Linked DNA regions of Arabidopsis thaliana. The protein of the gene in region 2 interacts with the protein of the main gene of each other region in a pairwise test. Each region holds a gene or a part of one and is shown on either strand. Other genes may lie near its edges.

The links. Proteins that work in one complex are often made in the same cells at the same time.
Region 1: the proteins of MOS1 (region 2) and AT4G28300 interact in a two-hybrid assay, tested with the Arabidopsis thaliana proteins (one large-scale study listed by BioGRID).

Annotation. Positions count from the first base shown.
Region 1 is NC_003075.7:14,012,798-14,017,910, forward strand, and holds AT4G28300 (formin-like protein (DUF1421)), read left to right. Parts: upstream 1-1,848; 5' UTR 1,849-2,062; coding exon 2,063-2,218; exon of another isoform or gene 2,219-2,598; coding exon 2,599-2,886; intron 2,887-2,979; coding exon 2,980-4,026; 3' UTR 4,027-4,300; downstream 4,301-5,113. Other genes in the region: AT4G28310 (microtubule-associated protein), read left to right, coding at 4,661-5,113.
Region 2 is NC_003075.7:12,730,730-12,738,810, reverse strand, and holds the start of MOS1 (modifier of snc1), read right to left. Parts: upstream 6,134-8,081; 5' UTR 6,009-6,133; exon of another isoform or gene 5,945-6,008; intron 5,427-5,944; 5' UTR 5,387-5,426; coding exon 5,358-5,386; intron 4,860-5,357; coding exon 4,776-4,859; intron 4,693-4,775; coding exon 4,648-4,692; intron 4,555-4,647; coding exon 4,185-4,554; intron 3,647-4,184; coding exon 3,544-3,646; intron 3,141-3,543; coding exon 3,024-3,140; intron 2,800-3,023; coding exon 1,722-2,799; intron 1,641-1,721; coding exon 1,412-1,640; intron 1,303-1,411; coding exon 1-1,302. UniProt on the Arabidopsis thaliana protein: Involved in the regulation of the chromatin structure and DNA methylation at the SNC1 locus. Regulates the expression of SNC1 at chromatin level.

The DNA.
Region 1 (5,113 bases), 1.3 Mb from region 2:
TAAGAATGGGTAGCGTGAAAAATAAGGGGGTTAGTATGGTCAAAGCATTAGAAAAAAAGAAATGTACTTTGAGCCTTGAAGTCAGAACCACACAAAGAGAAACATGATTGGTTGATCTGTTAAATGAAAATGGGTCCATCGTTGGTTGGTAAGTAACCCACGTGTCCGGACAATGTTGCAACTATGAGTTGGTGTTTTGAGAATGTTAAAAGTCAGCTTTGTATTGGACGATTATGCCCCTCTTATTTCTCGTTTATTACTGTTGGTATTGTATGCTCATAAGATAAGGTTCAAGAAAAGAAATGTTCATAAGATAAGGTCGAAACACTAAATGACGGGTGAACAATGGCATTGAACAAGTGGATCTGATTATTTGTCTTTGAGAGCATATCTCAAATGCAAATTGATGTAAACTGATTTGTGGATACCAAACCTAACAAGTCCCATATGGTTTTCTGGTGAGATTTCTCTGCGTCAAATTTAATGTTGAACACATTTATTCTTTGATAAAGACATCACAATCTCGTTAAGTTTTAATACTCGTCTCTATATATTTTACGTCCGGTCACTATTTATGAAAAAAACAGAGTAGTAGAATAAGTTATTAACACATGATCGTACAAAAGCATCTTATGGTGACGTATAGGATCATAATGATATGATTAATAAAGTTTTGATTAAAGATGTATGGATACAAATGAAAGAAAAAAGTTTGCGGCTATATCTCTTTAGGGATGGGTTCTTAATAATTAAAATTACTTTTGAAGGACTTTATCGTTTGCGCAATCTCATAATCATGTCCACATATCTCTACTTTTTCACCGGCCAAAACTTATTCGGTCCATATCCGTATCTTAACGTGAATTATTGATCATGCCGCAAGACCAACAAGCCCACAACTTATTTTACTCTTACATGTGTAAAACAATTAACAACCACAGTGATTGTGGACAGGAGAAGATGAAACAACTCAATGTAAGTAACCCAACACAACCGGTCAATCGGTCATTCTTGTGAACTGGTTTCATTACAAGAACGTGTACCAACTATCTCTAAGCAAACATGCAGAGGCTATGATATCATACATCATATATCAACAAGTTACCAAAAAAAACACTCGTACAGTCGTACTCTTGATGTAACTTCCAAATAATTTTTATATATAACCGGTTCATGTTTCTGGTACATGCTGACAACTACAATATGTTCTTCATACAAGTTTAGCTGACCAATGTGACTACAGATCCCAAAAACTAGCAGCAGTAAGATGGTTGGATTATAACACAAGACCAAGATCAAAGCCCTTCCAATTTCTCAAGAACTCACATATCACTCACTCCTCAAGAAGAACAATTTACTAACTTGAGATCCCTCGTATCTTAAGAAAACACCTTAGGGAAGAAACAATATCAGCGTTGAGAACCTGGTTTCCTCCACAATGCATTTGGCACACATCGGAACTATGGATTCAAAGAGCACCAAAACGAGTCTATATCTCTCAGTTTTATGCCAATGCCAACAGAGCTCAAATGGCACCCATAAAAACATCAAAACAGTCTTCTTTATAGATAATAAGAATATAAGATATCTAGCCTAGCAAAAAGATCGAAACTTTGGGTTTCCCCCTTCGTTACCTCAATCCTCAATAAAAAAAAATTCCAATGAAACGAAGTGAACGAACGACGTCGTTCTATTTTTTAGGTTGCAAATAATTGAAAACAAATAAACGGGACAAATTCACAAGTAATCAATATATTTAGGGACGAAATTACAAATATTTAATAGAAAAACAAGAGTTTGGCTGTTTCCTCCTTCTTTCATCCTTATCACAAGTCTGAACTAAAAAACCTCAATTGTAATAAACAAATTAAAAAGCAAAAATATAATAAAGAGAAAACAAACGTTTTTTTCCTGCTTGCTTCTCTCTTTGCTTGCGTTTTCTCAAAGGTTCGAAGAAAACGAAGAACCACGCTTTTGCTTTTTTCCCAAGACTTAATCTAAAAAGCGAGATTTCCTTCTTTCGATTCTTTTTTCTCAATCTGGTTTTCAGTCTTCGGATTCAATGGCGTCTGGATCTTCGGGTCGGGTCAACTCAGGATCCAAAGGTTTCGATTTTGGCTCCGATGATATCCTTTGCTCTTATGATGACTACACCAACCAAGACTCCTCTAATGGTCCTCACTCCGATCCTGCGATCGCTGCTTCCAACTCCAACAAGGTTAACCACACTGATTTACCCTTTTCTTCCTTTTTTTAGGTTCGGGTATTTTGCTCGATCGGCGATTTTTGTTTGATTTTTGGGAATCTAGAGTTTTGATTTGTGGTTTGCTCAGAGATACGTGTAAAAACAATTTCGAGGAGTCAATATCGAACTAGTCCTCTTAGTGTTGAGCTAATTTAGCTAGTTATTTCTATGTTGGTTGTGACTTATGAGGAGCTATGTTCTGTGGAAACGCCTTAGCTATGAATCTGACTTGGAACTAGAGCTTGTTAAGCTGTGCTTGTCCTCCTTATTTTCAATTGGAAGAAAATTTCATCCACTTTTGATCAGATATACTGAGCGAGTCTTTGTTTATTGTTTCATTTTTTTGCTTGTAGGAATTCCATAAAACAAGGATGGCAAGGTCTTCGGTTTTCCCTACAAGCTCTTACAGTCCACCAGAGGATTCTTTGAGCCAAGACATTACTGACACTGTCGAAAGGACCATGAAGATGTATGCTGATAACATGATGCGCTTTCTTGAAGGCCTCAGTTCACGCTTGTCTCAGCTTGAACTCTACTGCTACAACCTTGATAAGACCATTGGAGAAATGAGATCGGAGTTGACTCATGCACATGAGGATGCCGATGTGAAGCTTAGATCTCTCGACAAACATCTTCAAGAGGTTTGTTATTGTTATGCAATGTTTTTAATCCTTTTTGTTAATTTTAGTTTGTAAAACTCTGATCAGTAATTGACCATGGATGTTCTGTTGTAGGTGCATAGGTCTGTCCAGATTCTTAGAGACAAACAAGAGCTAGCAGATACTCAGAAAGAGCTAGCGAAGCTACAACTTGTGCAGAAAGAGTCATCTTCGTCGTCTCACTCTCAACATGGTGAGGACCGTGTCGCCACTCCTGTTCCAGAGCCTAAGAAGAGCGAGAACACCTCTGATGCACACAACCAGCAGCTTGCACTTGCTTTGCCTCACCAAATAGCCCCACAGCCACAGGTGCAGCCGCAGCCACAGCCACAACAACATCAGTATTACATGCCTCCTCCTCCTACACAGCTTCAAAACACACCTGCACCGGTGCCCGTTTCTACTCCACCATCACAACTTCAAGCACCACCAGCGCAGAGTCAGTTCATGCCCCCACCTCCTGCTCCATCTCACCCAAGCTCAGCCCAAACTCAGTCATTCCCGCAGTACCAGCAAAACTGGCCACCCCAACCACAAGCCAGGCCACAGTCAAGTGGAGGCTACCCAACATACTCGCCTGCACCACCAGGCAACCAACCGCCAGTAGAATCGTTGCCAAGCAGCATGCAGATGCAATCACCATACTCTGGACCTCCTCAACAGTCTATGCAAGCTTACGGATACGGTGCTGCACCACCACCACAGGCTCCTCCTCAGCAGACAAAGATGTCTTACAGCCCCCAGACTGGCGATGGGTATCTACCCTCAGGACCTCCTCCTCCTTCCGGGTATGCCAATGCCATGTATGAAGGTGGGCGAATGCAATACCCACCACCTCAGCCGCAGCAGCAGCAGCAGCAAGCCCATTACTTGCAAGGTCCACAAGGTGGTGGATACTCTCCCCAGCCGCACCAGGCAGGTGGCGGTAACATTGGTGCACCACCTGTGTTGAGATCAAAATACGGTGAACTGATAGAGAAGCTAGTGAGCATGGGTTTCAGAGGAGACCATGTCATGGCTGTTATTCAGCGGATGGAAGAGAGTGGCCAACCCATCGACTTCAACACCCTCCTCGACAGATTGAGTGGGCAGTCCTCAGGAGGACCTCCCAGAGGATGGTGATGCCATGGCTCCCCTCTACTTGTGTATCTTTCAAAATAAAACTGTGCTTCCTCTTCCTCCTCCTCTTTGCGTTACTCTATAGAGGCCCTAGTTTTATTGGGCCCAATAGATTGGGTCTGTTGTGTATTGTTATAAGACTCAATTTATATTTCTTTAAAAAGCCTTATTATTTGTGTATGTGTTACTTTCAATGTTTTTCTTGAACCCAAAATCTCTTATCAATGATTTGCTGCTTTCTTTACTTCACTTTTGTTTTATATAGATTGTGAAAATTAATAACCTGAATAACAAGCTTTTAATATTAAATGGAAATTAGTTCCTATACCAAAAAACCTTTCAAATCATGAAATTTGTGTATTTAGAAAAATTGGAAAAATAAGAAAAATGGAAAAAAAAATGTCAAAAATAGATTTGCGTAAATCCTTAAAACCAAAAAACAAATAGAAAAAAAAAACTGCGGGAAAGGAAAATAGAAGAGGCGCCAAAGATTTTATTTCAAGCAGCGCGGTTAGAGTCTCGCGCCAATAAACATACCGCCACAATCTCCTTCTACATAAACAGCCCTAATCCTCTATCTCAATCTCAATCTCTCATTCATCATCCTCTTTTTTCAATCTCGTTTAAAATTAACATAATGATGACGCCAGTGAAGAAAAGTATCGCCATTAGACCGGTGTCGTTCTACGGAAACGGGCTTCCTCGTCCTCGTTTCTTCGATAATCCTAAGTTCAATGATTACCGTGTTGATCCTCCCCTCTCTGTGCTAGATCCTCTTCTCTCATGGGCGAGAGACGCTCACTGGTCAATGGGTGGTCTCAACTTCACGCGTCTCCGTCTCCAAGGCCGGATCGAAGGAAACGTCAACAAGCTCCGTGCACAGCTTGAGAAATCCACCCCTGTGAAACTCGAATCTGGAAGGAAGAAGAAGAGATCTGGTTCTGAGTCTCCTCCTTCTGCTCCGATTGTGGTGAAACGAAGGAGGTACTTAGATCTGAACGATTCTGATGATGAGGAAGTCGGATCTGAAGATGAAGGTGTGGTTAGAATCAGGAGAAAACTCTCTGATGATTTTGATAGAGTCGCTGAA
Region 2 (8,081 bases):
TCCATCCTCCAAAGCTTTAGTAGGTGCTCCAGAACCTCTCTGGTGCCATGATGCATGTTCTCTACCATGCTTTCCCTGCCTACCATTCCCATGTCTTGACTTTGAAGGAGACCCAGATTTCCCTGCAGTTGAACCAGAAGGTTGGAGAATTCCTGTACCCTCACCTCCACGATTTTCTTTCTGGTTTACATTCTCCGACATATCTGGAGCAGAGGTTACTAGATTTTTACTGACGATTTGCTCAGCCATTTCCTTTACTATAGGCTTCGGTACATATCTTTCAATTTCCACTCTTTTGCTTTTAGAACTAGTCTGTCCTTGATGCTGACTTTTTGAAGAGGTGCCAAACTCAGGGACAGTAGTCTGACTCCCTCCACCAGTGGAAACATCAGCTTTTTGCTGTGGATGTACTGGAGCCCAAATAACAGCATTGTTGCCAGAAAATTTCTCTGCAGGCTTATTTACCAGTGAGTTTCTTTGAGTCCTACGCACATGTTGAGATTTCCAGTTGTTTTTAGCTCTGTTTTGAGACTCTTCATTAGTGAAGGAACTGATTTGTTCAGACGAATCACCAGACACTTTGATATCCAGGCTTGGAACTGAAACAGACCCCAACTCAATTTCAGCTGCCCTTGCCCTAGCAGTCTCAATTGACTCATCTCCCGATTTTGTTTCTTTTCCAACGGCAACTCTTGTAGTATTCATAGTTGCTGTCTCCTCAGCCTTGTGTTTTTTCTTACCATTCCTGTTATTTTTTCTTTTCGGGAAAGTTGACTCAGCTGAAACGGTTGACGTCGCTGGCATGTCTGAGTTATTGCTTGAGACACCTTCATTAACAACCTCAGGAGACGGGACAACATCAAACACCTCTGCAGTAGCAACAGAGCTCCCTGTCGGTTTTTTCTCAAATATAATATTTTGCTTCTGCTTATAACCCAAGCGCTTCTGTTTTGAGGCACCGCCATCACGTGGAAGATTATCCTGTTGGGAAGGGCCCACATTATTTGCATATTCTGTTGAAGTCCTCGTGTTTTGCGTTGTGTTTTTTCCTGATCCTCCAGTAGGTTCTACGGAATTTGTAGCATTAGATGAATGAGATCCAGGATCTGTTGGCATGTCAGCCGGAGAAGCATTAGATGCAGCTTCCATGTTCTTAACTGAACCCTCCTCATATATTTGGGAACGTCTATTTAACTCTTCTAGTTTTGCAAGAGCCTTAGCCCGCTGATCTCTCGCTCTTTCTTCCTCCTCTTTCTGCCTCTGTTGAGCACGCTGCCTGGCTAACTCTCTCATCGTAGAACGCTTTTAAGGGAACATGGCAAACACTCAGTCAAACCAAAAAAGGATGACTACAAACAAGAGATACATAAAAGTATAAATAACAACCAGAATCATATGAACTAGTTTATACCTGGTTATCCTTTGGGTCTGCTGATATTCCCGACCCAGGCCTCCTGATGGACTCGGTATCCAAAGAGTCATCGACATTAACCTCGCGAAAGCTTTCTGTGTTTGTAGCTAAAGTTGTATGGGAGGAGCCTGACATAACAGTTGTCTTCTGCCAAGCATCATTGCCTTCACTGTTCACTATTCGTTTGGTCTGCGGATCTGCTCTGCCTTGAGTCTGTTGAGTAGGTCTCCTGTAGGTACTAACATCAAAACTTTCCCGACATAAAGGATGGCATAACTGGCCGAAACACAATTGAAAAATGATAACTGACCTGAATATGCTAGTTCCACCCATAGCTGCGGGTTCAGCATTCTTGTTTGTGGCAGAATCACCTTGATTATAGTGTGATGAGTTCTTACTGTCACTTGCATGACCAGTTCGATGATTTCTGGCTGAAACTTTATTTGCAGAGTTCCCAGAATTGAGTGTACGTGGTTGGCTTTCCTGCTCATCTCTATTAACAACAGATGACGAATTTTGCCAACCATCATTAGTTCTAGTTTTTGCATTTAAGCCCTCGATTTTCTGAATCAAACTAGGATCTCCAGGGGCAGCAAGTTCTGCTTTGACTGGTTGTACTTCACCACTTGCGTCATTTCTGATTTCTCTCCTCTCGTTTCTTGAAGTTTGCATCTGTTGAGCTATCTTCTCTGCATTCGGGAGCCTATTTCCAAGAAATTCTTCCCGCTTTGCATTATCTTCCCCAAACCTCCCATCTTGGTGCTTTAGGAGAACCTTGTATGGCCTTTGTGTTTCTTGAGAATGTGATGACTCGTTCCGTTCCAAAGACACTGAACTTCCAGGCGTATCATATCCACCTTGACCAGAATGATTGTTATAAGCATGCGGACCAGTAGGCCTACCTGCAAAAGGTAGGTCTCTGTTGCTGGGACTGCCATACCCCATGGGAGGACCATAGTAGCCTTCGTGTGGCGCTGGACCAACATAAAACCCAGGCCTAGTCTGCATCCTTGGGTGGACATAAGAGTCAAGCATTGGAGGTCTGAACATTCTTTCATTATTAGCGTGATTACCCCTAGGACCAGCCCCATGTCCAGGAGCAGGTGGAACTTGCGTAGGATAAAATGGAAAAGGATCCATGTGAAAACCCCCAGGACCCATTGGGGCACCATACGGGTGGTTCCCTCCGTACCAGCCACCTCCTTGATGATTATTTACTGGAGGACCACGCCAAGCATCATACCGAGGAGGAAAATTAGCATTAGGATAAGATTGTGAACCACGTGAGTCCAATTGCCCTTCCTCTCTACAATGTCTAGGTGCATCTTCACTGTATGGTTGATTCTCTCTTCTCCAGGAATTGGCATCCCCAATCCGGTCATTAGCTTCTGCAAATAAAAGACAAGATATGGTCAAATATAGTGTCCGCGAGAACATCCACTAAAAAGATGTACGGGGAATAAAGCAGTAAGAAGAATTCACATGAACACCTGTGAGGGTAACATGGCCCTCTCATAAGAGATGATTATAAACATAAGTAACTCTCGAAATGAGATGCCAACATCTGTTGTATATCCCCAAAACATAGAAAAATAGGTTTGAAAGTAAGAACCTTCTGTGCAATCTACACCTTGCCCTTCCACAGATCTTCCAGACGAAGATGGAGGACGAGCGTGAGGTCCAGCATCTGCAAATTTGTAGTTTCTAAGAGCCATGTCTAACGTATCTCCTTCATATAAGCACATCACATTCTATCTAGGTAATCCTAAAATTCTCAGTGGCACATATTAGGAGGTCATCTAAGATCGAAAAAGTGGTCAACCAACAGCAAGCCAAAAAAAAAGGTCATTCCCGAAAGTTTTAACTTTGCTGAATATCCGTGTAGATAAACTTCTCAACAGAATTACATTTAGAAGTACCAACTTTCAAAATGAACCCGTCTGTGCTAACGTCACTCCCTTGAAGGCAAGGACGACGAGTATAAGATTGAATTGTGTACAAGTTGAAACAATTTTTTTTTCCTAGTTTACATGCTGATCGTACTTTTTGAAAAGAGCAAAGAGAACTATTCTTAAATCAAAGTACTGTAATGCATGGATGACACAATAATTTTTACTGTTAATAGATGGTACCTTGTGGCCTTGTACTCTTTTCAGAAGTGTCCTTTTCAGCACCAAGGGAAGGAAAATCTCCAGAAGTCAAAGAAAACCCATCATTCTTTGATGGAGCAACTCCCTGTAGAAAACAATGAGAAGTCTAAGAATGAAGATAAATTTCATGGTAGATAATGCAAAGGTGGGTAAATTGTACACAACTATTCTTCAAAAAAAACCTTGAAGATTGAAGTTTGCCAAATAATAATACAAAAACCCTTCCATCAAATTCTATTTGCCCAACCAGAACTCGAGACTTATTGGAGACCATGTGCCACTCAGTTGTCAGATTATCTTACGCACTACAAAGCATTTCTCTAAGAGAAATAAGTGCCCTATAATTTGACAAATTTAGCATCCTAATCTTGTTCCCATAGCAAACACGAATGATGTATCCAGCTATTAAAGTTCTATCTAGATTGAATATCAATCATTAATCCCAAAAAGTAATTACCATTCACAGTCCCAAAAACATAAGAACTTGCTGTGTGTTTGTTGTAACTAAGCACAAGTGAAGTAAGAGAAGAGTGACATGGAGCTTCACAGATGTAAGGATAAAAAAAGATGCTTAGCAGAGTCCCGATAAATATTAGAGACGACTTTAAAGGGAAGAACCATACCAACTTCTCTGGCGCCACATGTTGACCCCATGTTGCAGAAGTCTCTGACACGGGTTCAGCAAATCGGGATAACTGGGAACTTCCTGGTCTTGTGTCTGCACTATGTGGACGCTGTAGTGCAACTGATGGCTGATTAGATGGAAACACCCCAGATGCTGATGAAGGCCGCGAGTTCGAATCCCATGCAACAGAAGAAGAAGAGTCATGTGCTTTGTTACTATCGGCAGTTGAAGGTCGAGTGACACTTCCACCAGAAGAAGGTCGATTACTGAGGTGGCTTGGTGAACCAGGGCCACTTTCAGTTCGTGGTGACAAGGATGATGTCCCCCAAGCATTCAGTGATGATTTACTGCCCCAACTAAGTGTTCCCCTAAAATAGATGTCCAGAAGAAAATTAAACCATCTAAAATTTGAGGACGAAAAAGAATGAGGGAAATAGCATCTCAAACAGGTACAAACTTACTTTGGAACAATTTCTACATTTGGGTCAAGGCCTTGGTTCTCTAACCTTAAATTCAGAAGAGAAGTGTTCAGGGAACGAGATTATACATATATATGAAGTCTAAATGTGATCATGCGCTCATCAAATACCTTTGGCTTGGTAAGTTAATCGGTTTTGGAACAGCAACCTTTCCCAATATAGTCATGCCACTTCTTCTTGTAGTACCCCATCTGCTAATATCCAGCACATGTAATTTCTCATCATCACCACAGAGGATACAAAGCTCTTTAAGTGTAAATGAGCAAAGTATAAATGATTATACAATTTATTAAAAAAACGATCAGCTCTTTACATATGTTTTCTACACACATTTTACAACTTTCCCTTCTTTTAATCTAAATGGTGATGTTGGCATGTTGCAAATCAATAATAATGTTGAATAAAATTATTACAAATACATGGTGAATGTCTATCATGCAAGCAAGCTCTTTCAAAGAAAGAAAAACCACACCCTGAGTTTCCTTCTATACCCCAGGCACATATAGTGATTCTATATTTTAACAACAGTTGGAATATACAGCACAACGAAAACAAGTAATTCATATGAAGAAAAGGCCAAATCAAAAGAAAAATCATGCAAGTAACGTGCAAAGAGGCCAATATATAACCCATAATCCAGTATAAAAACATAGAAAAGTTCATGACAAAGATAAAGTTGAAAGAAGAGAAACCTTCGATCTCCTGTCGTGCTAGAGGTCATTATAAAAGCAGCTACACGATCCAATTACACCACTTGAAACCTGTAAGTCACATACAGAATCAGATTCACAAATGAAATTTGAAGCTCAAATCCCAAAGAATCAAACAAGACCGACACTGAAGAACTATTGCTATAACACTGCTACCGTGAAATGTGTTGCAGAATCAGACTGCCTATACAAATTCTCCAACATGAATTGAAATACTTTCTAAAATTCACCATCATAACAGAAAGACAATGTTCGACAATCAAATTGGTACAGAAACCTAAAAGTATGAAAGATCGTCAAACTGCGGAATCAAAAGAGGTTCCAGACTAAATGACCGCAATACTAAAAAAACAATTGACGTATTCCCAGAATGTTGACAATTTCGCAATCAACTTGCTAGAACAACAACAGCAACAAAAAAAGAGCTCTGAAACATACAAATGTCTCCAGAAATGTCAATCAAGCTCTACAAAAGGACCCAAATTACTTCAAAATGCGATAATTCTATAAACTCATCACTCGATTCCTCTGGAATACAAAGGGGAAAAAAAGGTAGAGAAGAAACTGACCAAAGGGGATTATAGAGAAAATCTGCTCTCTTTTTTTGAATAGAGAGGGGGGGTCCTCGCAAACCCTAGATATTAATTGTGAGAATCGAACGAAGAGGGTGCAGATCGGATGTGTTCCTGGGCGATGAGGGAAAAGGAAGAAGGGGAAGATGAAGGAGAAAAGGAAGGATCTGTGGGAGAAAGAAGAAAGTGATGATGATTGATGAAGATGAAGCTTATTACGACGACGTTCAACGGATTGGTTGAAAGAGGAGAAAGCGTCGAAGTTCAGGGCTGCACGGTTTTACTCAGCTTTTCCTCTCTCTCTTTTTTTTTTTCCTGTGAATTGTAAAATGAATGCCGATTAAAATAAAATAGAGCGAATAAAGGATCACCTATCTCCAAAAAACAAAAATATATATATAAATTAAAAGAGTAGTATTATTCATTAACATCATTTATATATTTACCTACCCATTTTAAAAGATAGCCATAGTTTGACAAAAAAAAAAAAAAAAAGGATAGCCATAAAAACAATACTTAACAAAATAGTTTCCTTTCTTTTACATTTTACGAATGTTAAAAATGGGGGAGAAATTGAATTATGTGGTAGGTTCACTTCTTCATTTTAAGGACATGTTTAGGGAAGTAAGACGATGGCAGGCATGATCAAATGAATAAGGTTTTTTGGGTAATGCTTATGTTTATCTTCCAAACCTCTCATGTTTCTTTGTGGAGTACACTCATTCTAAGGAAAGATCATATATTAATCCGGTGTTTTGTAATCGAGGGTTGGAAGTGTTCGTACATGCACTGTGTACATGGTGCTAGAGGATGATCTTGAGCGGATTTGAGCTCAACGCTAGCTTATTTTTTTTCAAATTTTAAAATTTTGTGTAAATTTTATATACAGAAGATTTTAGATAATGCATAGTTTGATTTTTATTAATTTATTACGAGTAGTCTTAGCATATTTTAAATTTTCGTGCTTTTCTCCAAATTGATACTTAAGAGTTAGAGAGAAAGCCAACAAACTTAAGAAAGTTAGAGAACGAGACACTTGAATGCTTACAAATGATGATCCCACCCCATTTTATACAACTTCACCTTTGATAGAATCATATTCAATAAACAGTAATGTATGAAAAGAAAACAAAAAAACAAATATACTTGAACAATGACCAAATATAATAAACCTCTTGGATCCAGCCCATATGATCTTTGCTAAACTCTTGAACAATTTGGGCCGTGGCAATATGTAGATTTTGGTCCATGGATCATTTATCTATTTTAATGTTACCCTTGCAGAGATTATTTTCTTCTCTTTGTTACTTTCACAATCAACACCCCAAAATATGTTATTACAACAATTTCACCCTAAATCGTTTTGTCCAAATGTGTAAATTACACTAAACATATATAGGGCAAAATATTACATAGTCAATATAATGAGCCTTAAGCTAATCTAATTAGATGTGAAAACAGAGAAGTGACGTAAATCTAGAAAATATTGTTACACATAAAGCATTCACCAGTCTTGTACTAGTAAACAGAGATCCTGAATAAATTCAGTGTCTCACTCGGTTCATGTACTGTCGTTTCCAAGGTCTGCCATTGACAAACCGAAAAGCTGAAACTCTTCACGCCAAAGCCAAAATACAATAACTTTTTCCCAATGGGAAATATCTTTTATCGTGGAGAGAAACAAACAAAGAGCTTCGACCTAATTACACATTCTTCTTTTTCAGTTTACATATAAAAAGCCTTCTAGCGATCCTTTCACTGTGGCCAATTTGTTCTGTGACCTTTTGATCCTCTGCCTGCAATTCTACAGGTATTTTGATAGGTAGTCTCAGTTTAGAATTTGTCTACTAGGATTAAAAATTCAATTTCTTAAAATCGTGATTGGTAATATTTATGAGTTAAGTACATGAGTTAGGTTCGTAATCCAATATAAACACATTGTTATACATACCTTTATCTCTTGAGATTCTTCAAGGGTTATTTTAATCTCTTACAAAAATCATAACTTCGAATATCAGCCAAAAAAAGGATCAGTCTCGTTGGACACCACTTGTTTGTTTCCTTTGTTTTTTTTAAAAGAGGTCTTTATCCAGCTATCCCACTCTGCTCTTCTTCTTTAAGCATTTTGCATTCT